Linked DNA regions of Saccharomyces cerevisiae S288C. The protein of the gene in region 2 binds, or shares a complex with, the protein of the main gene of each other region. Each region holds a gene or a part of one and is shown on either strand. Other genes may lie near its edges. The genes, in order: RGP1, RIC1 and YPT6. A codon is read from its position in the direction of its gene.

Region 1 (4,616 bases), on a different chromosome or scaffold from region 2:
TGACCATATTAAATTTAGCCATTGTGTTAAATCTTGTAATTTTTGAACATCCACACTCATGAGATTGACAATGTCACCGGTAGAGGAAAGTCCAGAAGCCTCATTAGATAGCACTAAGGATTTTTGATATATTAAAGCCGTTAGGGCGCTCTTAATATACATGCCTGTGTTGAAGACATTCAGGAAATATTGATGCAGGACAGATGTCTGAGTAAAGCCCACCAGAAACATAGCAAACGCAATCAAAAACCCTCTTACAATGGGTAATTTTTGTGGGTGGTTATTTTCAAACCCTTGAAGAGAAGAATGGTCATCCTGTCTCTCACTGTTATAGTCTGTGACGAACTTGATTAAAATCCTTAGTAGTTGTGGTTGAGTAAATGCTAGAACATCATGAATTGCTTTAAAGAATGCGGCTAAAAGCATTTTAGATCCAAAAGTTCTGCATATAGCCCATGATAATGAAGGATTTGATTTTTGCTTCAACTCATTTTCCCAGTTTTTCTCCAATTTTTGAGAGAGTTCTTCACTACTAAAGTTCCTCGGTAATTTATATAAATCTGCTTCCACTAAGTATTTTTCATAGCCAGTTTTCATCAAACCTGACATCCAAGAGAAGGTAATCCTGGAAAATATGTTTGCGCTATCGTATGGATTTGGTTTTCTTCTTGTTAAAGTTTGATGTATGTGTTGATGTGGCATTAGCGGCTTCTTTGGAAGAGCTTCAAGTAACAGGATACTGGCACATGTTATTACTTGGAATAACGTTAGTATGAAACCCGTTTGTCCGGAATACCAAATGCCTTCGTAGGTGTGTCTAATTAGAATATTTATTAGTTTAGCAAAATTACCGAATGTTTCAAAAAGCCAATAGAATAAAAGTACCGTATTGGCTACAACTGATCTATCGTATTCTATCCAGTGTAAGGCTAAAGCAACAAATAAAGATAACATTGTAGAAGCATATTGACTTACAATGGTAAAGTTTTCCGCTTCTTCTTTAGAAATATTTAAAGACGCAAGTGAAACAAACGCTATCTCCAACAGAACTAGTGCCATCCTAGAGACAATAATCCAATTCCGCCTATATTTGATGCCAGAGTGTTTTTTCTTGCAAAGGTTAACTAAATCTCTGATACCGAAGGTTATCATGAAAATTGCTGATAGATTTAGGATCACACCGTCGATGAAGCATTGAGTAAAGTCACCGTAAAAGGATATAGGTCCAAACCCTTCAGGAGATCTACAGAGCTTGCAGGCCCATGAAACAAGATTACCAGCCATTTTCTTGTTCTTTACGGTAGTACGATACCCCTAATTTATTCTCAAACTGTTAATTGAAAAATTGTAGGTTGTAAACCAGCTTCCACATAGCAGATGATCACAAGAGGTTATCGCACCTTTTATAGCAGCTGCTAACTTTTTTCATCAATTTCGTAATTACTAAGCCGTAACCTTCCACCGCCCAAGCATCACACCAGGAGTTACATATTTTTGTATTATCATAAAGAAACACACGCCAAGATATCTACAGAAACCAGATGTTAGCATTAGATATATATATTCGTATTGATGCAGCATAACAAGCGTACTATGGATTGCAAAGTAATGTAGATTCCTGACCAGTAGATCTGCTCGCGCAAGAGAAACATTCATGAACTCTAACGACAATAACAGTAAATCCACCTCACGGAGAACGATAAAAGTCTTCATTTCTCCATGAGGTGGAAACGTTGTTTGAATATTAAACATAATACTTGAACTTCTTGTGTAATTTTTATTTTTTAATCGAAGTCTACTCCGAAGTCTCCTATAAAGCGTAAGGCGCGTCTCCAAAGTGCTATTTTTCAAGATCAATTCAGCTTCAAAGAAGCTTTGATACCTACGGGGCAATGCAAAGGCTGCCAGTCGAAACAAACAGCGAAAGCTAGCCCATAATTTCTTGAGCTGTTGATTTTGATTGTGATATTTTTCATACTTTAGAAGAAGATATGCGTGCGCACAGAATCGATACATTTCTCATAAGAGAAAACATCAAACTGGAGATCATACATGAATCGAATTCCTATTTTGGTGGAGAACATATATCAATTGCTTTCCGATTTAAGCACCTAGGCTCACAGCATGAATTGTTCAACTATAAAGAAAAGCTTCTCACTGTCGATAAAGCTGTTGAAGAGAAGTTGGAACAACAAGCGAAAGTGCAAGATGATGGTGAAGGCACGATGGAAAATCAAACCTGGTCCCTAAAATCATTACTAGGTGCCTTCAAAAGAACAGGCGAACCTGAAGAGAGTGTGGATGTGGATAACATGAAAATGCTAAATGAGAGTAAGATGTTAAGAGAAAAAATACAGAAGCAAATGTATTTTCATCAACCTGTAACGTTAATATCCGGTTATGTTCAAATATCGGGGGTCTTTCAATACGATTCAGAGGTAATTTCAGAGTCAAAATTTAAACAAGATGAAGTAAAAATGGTAGGACTAGATATTGTACCTGGACATACGACAAATTCTGTTCTTGCATTGGAAGATGGAGAACATTTCAAAGGTAAAAGAAATTTAACCAACTACCTCAACTCAGATTATACAAATGTGACCAATGGTCTTCTTTTCTCAGAAAGCGGTTCTAGGGGAAGAACAGGTACCTATAACGAACGGACCTTAATGATATCAAACGATACCAGTATAAAAACATTACCTCTTCTTTTAATACCACAGACGCTTTTATTTTCTGAAATTTCTTTAGAACCAGGTGAAGTAAGAACATTCTATTTTAAATCCACAAAGCTGCCAAAAGATATATGCCCAAGTTATTCATCGTCAAAAGTGGCATCAATAAATTACACGCTGGAGGTTGGTGCGGATGTACTTTCTGATGATAATATCGAGAAATTTTCAAATAGAGTCCCAATAACAATAGCACCATATATTAGTTCGAATGCCGAACAGTACACATCACGTCTGGATAAGCCTGCTATCATATTAAAGACAGGTAACATAAAGGAACTAAAGCCACGTTTGTTTACTCGAAAAGTTTCTACGGCTTCTGCTGTATCATTTGGTAGGAGAAAATCTTCTATAATTGACATTGATTCTCCATTAGAAGATAATGAATTTGTCAAGCGTGTCAAAAAAAACTTCATTGAACTGGTGGAATCTAACCAAAATGTGTCAAGAGATATAGACGAACTTATTGACTTGCAAATGGGGGTACAGTTCGGAAAGGATGAGGATTCTTCGGATCCTGAACCCAACGACTCACACTTTTCGAACGAAATGGTGACGTCTGCAGAGTCTAGCCTGAGAAGCGATGCTGTAACTAAGAGGAGAAAAAGTTATTCGGTACGCGATAACATTTCTAACCTCGAGCAAAAGATGTGGAACGATTGTTCTCTCGTTAAGTCAGATGAGAATTCTAATCTTCTACCTCAGCTAATTAATTTACAGAACGCATATCAAATTAACAGAAATAATGAGACTATGGCAAAAGTATCCTTATCAGCACCTTTTTATAAGACAACTGATGATATAAATTTAGTCATTGAATTAGATCCGATAACGACGCCTTTACTTAAAGTGACTTCGTTGACTGTATCCTTAGAATCGTTTGAAATTATAAATCCAAAATATAAGACTGAAGGAAAAGGAATAGGGAGCAAACCAAAAGGAAACTCGGTGTATGAGAAACATTTTATTTGTTTCGATGAGTGCAAGTCCGTATCGGTGAAATTACTTCCTCCAAGATCGCCTACAAACCAGATTACCGGACAATTCAAGACAGATGTTTTTCAACATAAGTGGATGATAGGACTAAAATTTGTAATAATTGCAAAGACAGAAAGTATCACTTTGGATCAATTTTATGAGGATAAAAAGGGCATCCTATTCCATTCAAAAGAGAATTTAGAAGGTGAAGAGTTTACATGTTACGTTCCCATTCCAATACTGTGTACATCCGAAGATTTCATGGGATGGTAAGCAATAAATGGGTGCAGTTTACTCGTATAATTGGTTTTGCATTTGAATCCAATCCAGTAAAGAGGATTTACTATACTCTCTTCATAAAGGGTATGTACAGATACATTTATAAGTTAGTTAACCGGCTTTATTGTCGTAATAGTCATCTCTTGATGTCATGGGTTGCTGTCCGTGCGATTTCAAGACTGCTCATTTCGCACGATGCATATTGCTTCTCTAATGACATTTTTCGTTAGAATGATCAGGTTTTTGCCATAGCTTGATCAGTAAATTAATAGATGATTTTAACAATTCAAGAGGCATTAAAACTTGGGCAAAGGAGTAATAATGTCTAATACCGAGGAATTGATCCAAAACTCAATAGGTTTTCTCCAGAAAACTTTTAAAGCACTCCCAGTTTCGTTTGACTCCATTCGACATGAACCACTTCCATCTTCAATGTTGCATGCAAGTGTTCTCAATTTTGAATGGGAACCGCTCGAAAAAAATATTTCGGCAATTCATGATAGAGATTCTTTGATTGACATTATACTTAAAAGATTCATTATAGATTCAATGACAAATGCTATTGAAGACGAAGAAGAAAATAATCTTGAAAAAGGGTTACTAAATTCGTGTATAGGTCTCGATTTT
Region 2 (5,781 bases):
AATTCTAGTAATTAATAATAATGATATAAAAAAGGCTAAGTGCACATTACTAAAAACGAAACTAAGATCCTTAGTCTGAGTTGATATCACCTGCGAAAATACCTTTTTCTCTTTGATCATCCCATTTTTCGATCCAGTCTAGGGGACATAAGGCGTTATAGGTCTTCCAAAAGACCTTGCACGGAGCAAAATCTTCGCCCTTCATATTAACACACTTGTGATAATCCACATAAGATTGCCAACAATGCTTTGTTTGGTTTTGTTGGGGAAATCTAGCATCGAAACCAACTGTATGTAGTGGAGAGTTTTCTTGATCAGCCATGTCTATTATACTGTATTTATGTGCTTGTTCCTATTTGTGAAAGCAAAGATACTTTATGTATTCTTACTAAAATATTTGTATATCTCTGCTAATCATTTTAATGCAACTTTTCTATCTGGTGCATCTTTCATCACCTTTTAAAGATCCTGAAGGGATGGGGATATCGGGCAAAACTACGCGCGACGCATTTCTGAAAATTGATTGGTCAATGTTATGAAGCTATATGGTAAAGAATACATGGTGTCATATAGATTTATTTGAATCTCTCGAGTGCTTTTTGAACCAATTGTGTGTTGTTTTCTCTGTCTAATTCCTTGAGTAAGCGTATTAATTGGAAACACATGTCCCACGAATCGGTAGCTTTAATTGGGTCTGTGGCGTTTGCAGCACTTGTCACCAAAAGCTCTAAGACTTTAAGCATTAATTCTTCATCCTTCAATAAATTAGTGACAGATTTCTCTGACTTTTTTGTAGAGTTATCATTTAGAGCTTTGCTTTCCTCAGTCCCTAAATCTGATTTCTTAAAATGTAGATCATCTCCCAAATCTTTCTCATCGTAATTTAAAAACACTAACAGAAGTACGCCAAGCATTTTAGCCTCATTTTCTTCGATACAGAGTGCTAATAAATCTCTTGGTGTCATCTTTAGATTAGTGAATAGATGGTTCCAGTATTTAGTTTCGATCTTCCTTAAACAATTACTAATAATTTCTAACATACCACTGTGGGTTGGTGGTGAAATATTATGCTCAGGATCGGTGTTGTCATACATCTTAATTAATTTCAGGATATCATCCAAAGAGTCGCTTCGCAGTATTTTAGTAGACAAAATCTTTTCGAGTGCAAATTTGTAAGGCTTTAAAAAACGATAATTGTGTGAAATATCCTCCAAATCTGTGTTGTCTTCTAATTTGGCTAAGATTAATTGGTCGAGGTATATTTGGTGTTTCACCACCAATTTGGAAAATCGCGCGTTAAAAATGCAGTGAAGTGTATGTGTTGTAGCTGTTTCTGGGGTGGTTGATATTGGATACAAATCTTCTTCGATTGGAATGGAAACTAGTGGCTTTTTATCATCCCATAAATCTTCCAAAGAGTATACGACGTAATTATGGCCTTGAACTACAAATATTTCGTCCCTGATAACATCGATTATTTTTTCTATGTTATCCAACAAAGTTAAGGTTTGCCAGCCCCCTCCATCCACTTTGCCAAGCTTTATAAATTTCCTATCGGCAAAAAATAACAAGCCCTCCTTCATGTTAATTATCCACTCAATTTTGTTGGGTAAAACATCAATTGGAATGTTAATTTTGAGATACTGGTAGAATTTTTTGATGATGTTTAATCCACATGGATGTACAGTAGAAATTACATCGAAGACAATTGTCTGTGTATCAGTAACTAAAATAATCTCGGCAGTTTTAAGCAATGCATCAGGTTGTTTTTCAGAAGCATTGTGATTCTTGGATTTCATTTTCAACAACTTATACCGGGATAAAGTATTAACATGTAAACTGAAAACAATCGTATTCTCTGGAACATTGTATTCCCACATGACATAATCTGATAGTTCCACGTCCGGATTCGCTTCTTGCAGTGGAATCTGCAGACATTTCAGATTTGTTGAGCCATCATCATTCTTCATATGACAAACCAAATAATTATCACCTAGCCAATGTAAATCCAACACGTTTTGGTCAGCAAAACTAGACCACATATTGGTCTCTAGATTGTGGATAAGCAGTATGTTTTTGTTCGACACATAAGTAGCAAATAACCTCAAGGAAGAATTAATTTTTACAAAAGCAATATGATTATTGAAAGTCTTTGTAGGAAGTTTTATGACTTGTAAATTATCATTATTGATTGAAGAACTTGTCACAGGTGAATATATGATTACATCATTGTTCGTATTGGTTAATACGTAACATTTTGGGTTTCTGAAATCAAATTGTGTTTGTTTTATTTCTTCCCATAATTTCCAAACTTGATATTTTCCGGAATGAGACACTGTTATTAGTGATTTATCCAAGCATACAAAATCAGAAATTTTATATTCAGCCGCCTTTTTCTCATTTTTATCCTTGCTGTTGTCATTATTGTTATCACCATTATAATCATCTTCGTCAAAATATGTAGCGAATAGCAGATTCCCAAATTCTGTGTAAAAATGAATGTTAACACTATCCTCAGAAACCAAAAGTAATATTTTATCATTAATTTTATCGCAAAGTTTTATCACAAATGGTGGTTTCCAAGAATGGCTTACTTTTTTAATTCTTGTATCAAAGCAGATTATTTTTTCTTTGTAAACGACCACCAGGTATCCATTAACTTCTAGGCAAGTCAAAAGTTCATCTGGTGTGTCCGTTAACGGTATTGCTTCAACAGCTTGCTTTTCAATGTCTATAATGCTTACAATAGTCTGCTTTTCGACGGAATCATGAGATAAAACCATTAATTGTTTATTACACACAATTGTCTTGGATCCCTTCTTCACTTCAACCAACGAGCTCTTGCTAACTTTAAAATCCGATATTGTAAGTATTTGTAATCCATGAGGGAATAAAACTATCAAAACTTCTTCATAACGCCCATCCCCGACTTTGGAAAATGTCTTGATGCCAATCATGTCTATGATTTCATAGTCAAATTTAAGAACTACTTTTAAACGAAGTTCTAGTTTTTTCACGGGGAGTTCATCAATGTTTTCTTGATTAGAAAGAAAGTGTAAAAACCCTTTTTCCTTAGTTATGCCAAATCCATTCTGTATAATTCTTGAAGAACTATTTTTATCAAATACCGTGAGAGTATCATCATCGTTGTTATAGTCATATTCAGCACTGTTCGCTTCTTCTTCACTCATTAAAAGAGGCTCTATGACGGGTATGCCGTATTCTTTGAAAATTATTTCATTTGTGCAGTTTTTTAAAATTTGGTATGTTAAAAGGAAGTTTTTATCAGTCATTACGTAAAATATCAGCTTTCCCTGGTGCCACAATAAGTATTGCGAGTCCTTTTTTGAAATAAGCCCTTCGATGATATCATTATATGGAGCTGATCGTTTCATTGATCTGTTATCGCCAAATTCCTTAAGAGAAGCCATTGTTCGTTCATGGCTAGCTACTAGTGCCATTGGTTTGAAGTTGTAAATGAGCACTCTTGTTGGGGTTAGCATGATAAGAACATTGGCCTGGGGTAGTGTCATTGATTGAAGAATATTGCAATCATCTATTTTAGTACCCTCACCTAATTCGGCGTTGCGGGGTGGAATTCTAAGCAATTGGGGCGGACTGACTGGCCATAAGTGCATTTTCCACGTGTTCAGTTTCTTACAGCTTCCGGTCAATAACACTCTTACCTTACCTTTTTTTTTGTAGAGGCATTTAGGTGTATTTTTTTCAGACTGTTTGATGAACATCAAAGGCGTCGGTATTGCCGAATTAACATCAAAGAACAAAAGCCTGCCATAAAACGACAGAAAAGACAAGATTTTGGCCAAGATGGCAACGCCATTCAGAAGTTATAATAATATGTTAAAAATAAATCGTTTGATACTGTACAAAGTTGATGTTCATCGTTGTCACTAAAAACGCTCTTAAAATCGAATTGTCCATTGAAAAAGTACATACTTATATACATATTTGTATAAATAATACACATATTATAAAAAAAGCGAAAAGGGATGGCGGACCTCCCATGGAATTAAATTGTCAAATTTGGTTGAGGCACTTAAAGGGCAACTGCAAAGATTCCGAACAACGCCATGGGGAAATATAAGCTTTTGGCATGGGCACCATTCTGTGATTGACTAGTTCTGGATGTTGAAGAAGAGTTTGATGCGGATATAAGTGCTGTTGTACTGTTTTCTTCATTAGCCATGGAAATCATGGACTGGCCTGCGTTCGCTGTCGAGAAAGGAACAGAATTGGAAACGGAGTTTTTTTGGCTGGCATAAGATGAGTTAGTCATGGTAGCTTCTGTCTCACCTGTTATGAAGTGTTGGGGAAGGTATATGGTGGTGGCGGAGGCTTTGTTTAGCAAAGAGGTATACCATGGAAAGGCCGTAATGAATGTTTGGAATTGAGTGAACGGAAAACTCTGAGCAATATCAGATTGTAAATCTGCTGTTGAGGCCAAATCAACCATGTGATAGTAGTAGTCAGCAACAGGTTGAGGTAGGGTTAAATGGTTTTGCATCATGTATGAGGTATACTGTGGAAAAGCGGTGTCGAAATCGTTTAAAAACTCCATGAAGAATGCCATGTCTGCATCTGCAGCTGCGGACCTGGCAAGTGTATCGTCATTGGAACTAGACGTTAAAGTTTTGGCAGCAAAACTGTGGCTGATTAGAAAGCTTACCAGGAGAATATTTTTAATGAGGGAGAAAGAAGGAGCAAATATCATTGATACGCAATATTTTCAGGAATGTTGTAAATGGTTCGTAACTGGATATCGAAATCACTTGATTAGAAACAATACGCCGGAATATGATCAGGTAAAGCAGAATAACAAAGAATAAACTTTCTCGATTGAGAGTGTCTTTTTAAATCATCCAAGCTCTTGAATTTTCTAGCATAGCCTTGGATGACAGCAATAAAAAATTTGCCAGGATTTTTCCCTATTTGGGCGTTCAATGAAGATAACGTTTGAAATATTAAAAACTAAAAAAAGAAAAAGGTTTGAAGCAATTAATAATTTATTAAGTTTTTTTTTATTTATCATACTTAAGAATATGGAGACCACGGGTTTTCTTACACCTGCGAAGACCTTGAACCTAATATATTTGTTTAAGAAAACAAATAAGCGATTGTTTCTAACATTAAAACGAAGTAAAGACATGGCTTGACTGAACCTACACCTCCTGTGCTTGTACTTGAACTTATAGTATTAGTTGTTTGAGAGCTTTTTGTTTCATTTCTCGACGAAGAAGGCAATGGCGTGAACTGGGTGACTACCGTAGAATTTGAGGATTGGTAATTTATAGATGTTATGACGCTGGAAGTGACTTTTGGTATAGACGACGATGATGAAGAACCGGTGAAATTAGCAGCAGCTAATGAACCAGTAATAATGCTGGAAGAGGTGGTGCTTGGAAGATGAAGTAGTTGATCGTTAGAATTTCCAGTGTCAAGAAAGGTGTATTGCACTTTCTGTCCAAGGGCAGTATTCAAATCCTGAGCATTTGAATCTGTGAGAAGTTGCGCTTGAACAATGAACAGTTGTAGTAGCACAATTGGGGCGAAAGCTAAAGAGCCAAATTGACTGATCTTCATATTTTTTTTGATTTGTTGACGAGCTATAGGATGATGAAACGGAGGGATATCAAAGTACGTTCTTCAAGCTTACAATTTCTCAAGGTGCTTTACTGGTCAAGATATTCAATATATAGCTAAATATTTATACAAAATGTTTGTTGACGGTTTGTTTATAGTGTTTTCAAAACACCACGAAAA
Region 3 (3,165 bases), 440 kb from region 2:
TCTTTCCGGCAGCGCTTCCTTCAGATGGTACAATGGATATGGTTATCACCGATGCAAGAACCTCGTTGACGAGGATGGCACCAATCCTGCTGGGACTAGATAAGGGTTCCCATGTTTTACAACCGGAAGTCTTACACTCTAAAATTTTGGCATACAAGATAATACCAAAGCTAGGGAACGGCTTGTTCTCTGTCGATGGCGAGAAATTTCCTCTAGAGCCCCTTCAAGTCGAAATTATGCCACGCTTATGCAAGACGTTACTGAGAAATGGCCGTTATGTGGACACAGATTTCGATTCTATGTGACACTTTACTTAATCTTTTCCTTCGTACTGAACAATTAATCAAAAACTAGAATATGTCATTTCTATTTCTTCTATATTTTTTTTACGTTGTTGTTGTTTTTGTTGTTGTTTGATAACTTTATACACTCCATACTTCTTTATAAAAAGTTTTAATACCATTCTTTAATACAACCATGTTTAGTGAGTACTAGCTCCTACACATCAGATCGTCAAGTACATTATGATTATGATTATTATTAATATTATCAGTACAATTATTATGTGCTGGTAGTTCACTAAAAAATATGACGCACACAAAGAGTTCTCCTTATGCCCTATAGAACTGAAATATTAGGTGCTAACACTGACAAGCGCTTTGTTCCTGCTCCTCTGCTGTAGAAATATCAATGACTCCCGGTTTATTTTGGTTTGCACTATTTGCATTTTCGCTATCCAAAGGAGTTGACTCGCTGTTTTGAAATTCAGGCAGCGATTTGGCAATCTTTTTGAATAAAGCTTTGACATTATAGCCTGCCTTTGTGGACGTTTCCATAAAGATTTTAGCACCCAATAGTTTTGCTTTTTTCTCTCCCTCTTCGGTTGAGATTTGCCTTTCATCTGATAAATCACTTTTGTTACCAACAATGCACAATATAACATTTTCGTCACCTCTTTCATTTTTAACGTCTTCTATCCATTTATCAATATATTCAAATGATTTTCTCTTCGTAATGTCGTAAACGATAATAGCAACTCTCGAATCTCTGATATATGAAGGTATTAATGATCTAAATCTTTCCTGACCTGCTGTATCCCATAACTGTAATCTAATTGTCTTATCATCCAAATACATGGTCTTGGAAAGAAAATCTATACCAATCGTGGCTTGGTAATGATCATCGAACGTATCATACATAAATCTAGTGATCAGCGATGTTTTTCCAACACCCTGTTCTCCCAAAAAAACAATTTTGTACTTTGTCAATGATTTCCCGGATCTGCTCATTGTTAATCTCTTCTTTGTTTATCTTTTACTGTTCAGAATCAACAGCTTCAAACACTTCTTTTCACACAACCTTAAGTGCCCAATTGTGATATTCTTACATCATACATAGTAACAATCTATATATGGGCAATATTTTCCTCCACTAATTGAGCTGTGCTGAAGGCTTTATTACCCGGAAATTATTCGGCCATTTTTCACTAGAAGTTAATACCAGCACTAACGAATAGAAGCACCCTATTCTACTCAAGATGCCCGGTTCATGAATAGGGAGAAGTATTTTTCTTATTTTCCTTAGCCATCTATAAATATTTATCCTTATGCCTGTCACCACAATAGAAAAGGGTCCATTATATATCAGTTGTTTTCGTACCTCTAGAGAGACACGCAAGGGGCTTTATTTAGGAAACCTCCAAATTTGCTAGATGTAACCATTATACATAGTAATTACGATTGTAAAACATCGGAAAGAACGATATATCTTGCAAATAGCTTTTCTTTGGTAATATATGTATTTACTTAAAAAACGAGAACTAGAAAATACTGAGTAAATTTTTATTAGACGTTGTTAAAGGCCTTTTATTTCTTACCAGATTTTTTGATACCACCACCCACTAAAGGTTTACCACTTTTCATATTAGCCATCAAAGCTTTCTTAGCAGCAGCATCGGCCTTTTGCTTCTCTTTGAAGGCAATGTCTTCAGGATCTAAGTCCTGTTGTTGCTTCTTCTTTTGCTTTAGAGGCTTCATCTTACCACCTTGGCGACTAGACATGATTGCTTAGGGTTTTTCAGTTATTCTTCTGGTTTTGCAACTTACTGTGCGTGGAAGAGCAATCAATTACAGGATTTTAAACATGAAATTTTTTATTTTCCTCGTTCATTTTCGTCGCGGGAAACTTCCAGAAGTATAGATTTACTACAATTTTTATCTCAGGACAGAAAGAATAAACCAAAAAAGCCAAGACAAGCCAAGCCAAGCCGAGGCGACTGGAGGAGCTTTTCATCACATTCAATGACAAATCACAACAGGTTTCCCTGTTAGAAAAGGCATGTGCACTCACAATTCATATTTTCATACAGAAGATATACATTGGATTTCTGGAGATATCAGGTAAGGTTCGACAAAAACAATGGCGTTTGCCAACCCTTTATGATGGGTGATCTTGTATCCGCTTAATTGTGTGATCTAAAAAGGCAAAGTAACGTATTATTGGCTGGTTTATATAATTTGAATATGACTACTTTTTCAACGTTAAAAACGATAAATACTTGCTCAAAGGGTTCAGCGGCTAAATAAACTACGATTTCGCAGCAGGATCAGATGGATTCAATCACATCATTCGCAAAACATTCACATCATTCGTGAAGCATTAAAGGTAATAAGAAAAATAGAACAAAGATTTTTTAATCAGTGAGGACCACAAAGGGACAGCAAATACGGTGATAAGAATGGAAGGTTTGAAGAAAAAGATTTTTGGTGTTTGCCTGAAAAATGACTTAGCACAGACTAGGAATGAAACGAAAGGAATCCACTATGGGTTAATGACTTTGGAAACTTCTAAACAACTGCAGGAATTTCTCCATTTGCTAGTAATAAAGAGAGAAGTAATTCAAAATTTTGAGTTGTTATTTCACATCATAAATGTTGCCGTTAAAATCACCGATTCAAATCTTCCAAGTGATGATATCTGGCATTTCATTTTAAAATTAAGATTTTCTTCTGAGATTAATATAGACGAAGACTCCAAAGTTTTAAATTATTTACTTGAGACTGGCATCGCAATGGAAAATCCAGTCAGTTGGAAATGCTTGGCCGTTATTAGCAGCATCCTCAGCAGTGTCCCTCAATCCAAAAAGATTATAACTAACCTGATCGA

The links.
Region 1: the proteins of RIC1 (region 2) and RGP1 are in contact, whole or in part, in a cryo-EM structure (PDB 9AYR), measured with the Saccharomyces cerevisiae proteins. Residues at the interface, in NP_013140.1 of Saccharomyces cerevisiae: Val42 (codon at 3,623), Ser43 (codon at 3,620), Pro44 (codon at 3,617), Pro45 (codon at 3,614), Gln46 (codon at 3,611), Leu47 (codon at 3,608), Leu48 (codon at 3,605), Arg49 (codon at 3,602), Ile50 (codon at 3,599), Pro51 (codon at 3,596), Arg53 (codon at 3,590), Asn54 (codon at 3,587), Ala55 (codon at 3,584), Tyr91 (codon at 3,476), Met96 (codon at 3,461), Ala97 (codon at 3,458), Leu98 (codon at 3,455), Val99 (codon at 3,452), Ala100 (codon at 3,449), Ser101 (codon at 3,446), His102 (codon at 3,443), Glu103 (codon at 3,440), Arg104 (codon at 3,437), Thr105 (codon at 3,434), Ser108 (codon at 3,425), Phe112 (codon at 3,413), Thr204 (codon at 3,137), Leu205 (codon at 3,134), Thr206 (codon at 3,131), Val207 (codon at 3,128); in NP_010421.1 of Saccharomyces cerevisiae: Met1 (codon at 1,992), Arg2 (codon at 1,995), Ala3 (codon at 1,998), Arg5 (codon at 2,004), Ile6 (codon at 2,007), Asp7 (codon at 2,010), Lys16 (codon at 2,037), Leu41 (codon at 2,112), Phe127 (codon at 2,370), Ser505 (codon at 3,504), Asn516 (codon at 3,537), Val518 (codon at 3,543), Thr532 (codon at 3,585), Ser533 (codon at 3,588), Ser563 (codon at 3,678), Tyr565 (codon at 3,684), Glu566 (codon at 3,687), Lys567 (codon at 3,690), His568 (codon at 3,693), Phe569 (codon at 3,696), Ile570 (codon at 3,699), Cys571 (codon at 3,702), Phe572 (codon at 3,705), Asp573 (codon at 3,708), Glu574 (codon at 3,711), Cys575 (codon at 3,714), Lys576 (codon at 3,717), Ser577 (codon at 3,720), Val578 (codon at 3,723), Ser579 (codon at 3,726).
Region 3: the proteins of RIC1 (region 2) and YPT6 are in contact, whole or in part, in a cryo-EM structure (PDB 9AYR), measured with the Saccharomyces cerevisiae proteins. Residues at the interface, in NP_013140.1 of Saccharomyces cerevisiae: Asn520 (codon at 2,189), Glu795 (codon at 1,364), Leu797 (codon at 1,358), Ile815 (codon at 1,304), Lys822 (codon at 1,283), Val824 (codon at 1,277), Val825 (codon at 1,274), Lys826 (codon at 1,271), His827 (codon at 1,268), Gln828 (codon at 1,265), Ile829 (codon at 1,262), Asp832 (codon at 1,253), Lys856 (codon at 1,181), Pro857 (codon at 1,178), Phe860 (codon at 1,169), Ala861 (codon at 1,166), Glu863 (codon at 1,160), Lys864 (codon at 1,157), Ser867 (codon at 1,148), Leu871 (codon at 1,136), Asn909 (codon at 1,022), Cys910 (codon at 1,019), Arg912 (codon at 1,013), Lys913 (codon at 1,010), Ile914 (codon at 1,007), Glu915 (codon at 1,004), Gly947 (codon at 908), Val948 (codon at 905), Leu951 (codon at 896), Leu954 (codon at 887); in NP_013363.1 of Saccharomyces cerevisiae: Lys23 (codon at 1,223), Thr24 (codon at 1,220), Ser25 (codon at 1,217), Thr28 (codon at 1,208), Met31 (codon at 1,199), Tyr32 (codon at 1,196), Asp33 (codon at 1,193), Thr34 (codon at 1,190), Phe35 (codon at 1,187), Asp36 (codon at 1,184), Asp37 (codon at 1,181), Tyr39 (codon at 1,175), Ile43 (codon at 1,163), Gly44 (codon at 1,160), Ile45 (codon at 1,157), Asp46 (codon at 1,154), Phe47 (codon at 1,151), Leu48 (codon at 1,148), Tyr53 (codon at 1,133), Asp55 (codon at 1,127), Asp56 (codon at 1,124), Glu70 (codon at 1,082), Arg71 (codon at 1,079), Phe72 (codon at 1,076), Arg73 (codon at 1,073), Leu75 (codon at 1,067), Lys163 (codon at 803).

The regions. Positions count from the first base shown.
Region 1 is NC_001136.10:726,268-730,883, forward strand, and holds RGP1 (Rgp1p), read left to right. Parts: upstream 1-1,991; coding exon 1,992-3,983; downstream 3,984-4,616. Other genes in the region: ATP-binding cassette glutathione S-conjugate transporter YCF1, read right to left, coding at 1-1,284; HPR1 (Hpr1p), read left to right, coding at 4,311-4,616. UniProt on the Saccharomyces cerevisiae protein: The RIC1-RGP1 complex acts as a guanine nucleotide exchange factor (GEF), which activates YPT6 by exchanging bound GDP for free GTP. It is thereby required for efficient fusion of endosome-derived vesicles with the Golgi.
Region 2 is NC_001144.5:224,851-230,631, forward strand, and holds RIC1 (Ric1p), read right to left. Parts: upstream 3,747-5,781; coding exon 576-3,746; downstream 1-575. Other genes in the region: COX12 (cytochrome c oxidase subunit VIb), read right to left, coding at 71-322; AFB1 (Afb1p), read right to left, coding at 4,058-4,732; NFG1 (Nfg1p), read right to left, coding at 5,116-5,601.
Region 3 is NC_001144.5:667,603-670,767, forward strand, and holds YPT6 (Rab family GTPase YPT6), read right to left. Parts: upstream 1,290-3,165; coding exon 642-1,289; downstream 1-641. Other genes in the region: sphinganine kinase LCB5, read left to right, coding at 1-305; VPS63 (Vps63p), read right to left, coding at 635-961; TMA7 (Tma7p), read right to left, coding at 1,866-2,060; RED1 (Red1p), read left to right, coding at 2,738-3,165. UniProt on the Saccharomyces cerevisiae protein: Protein transport. Might participate in post-Golgi transport.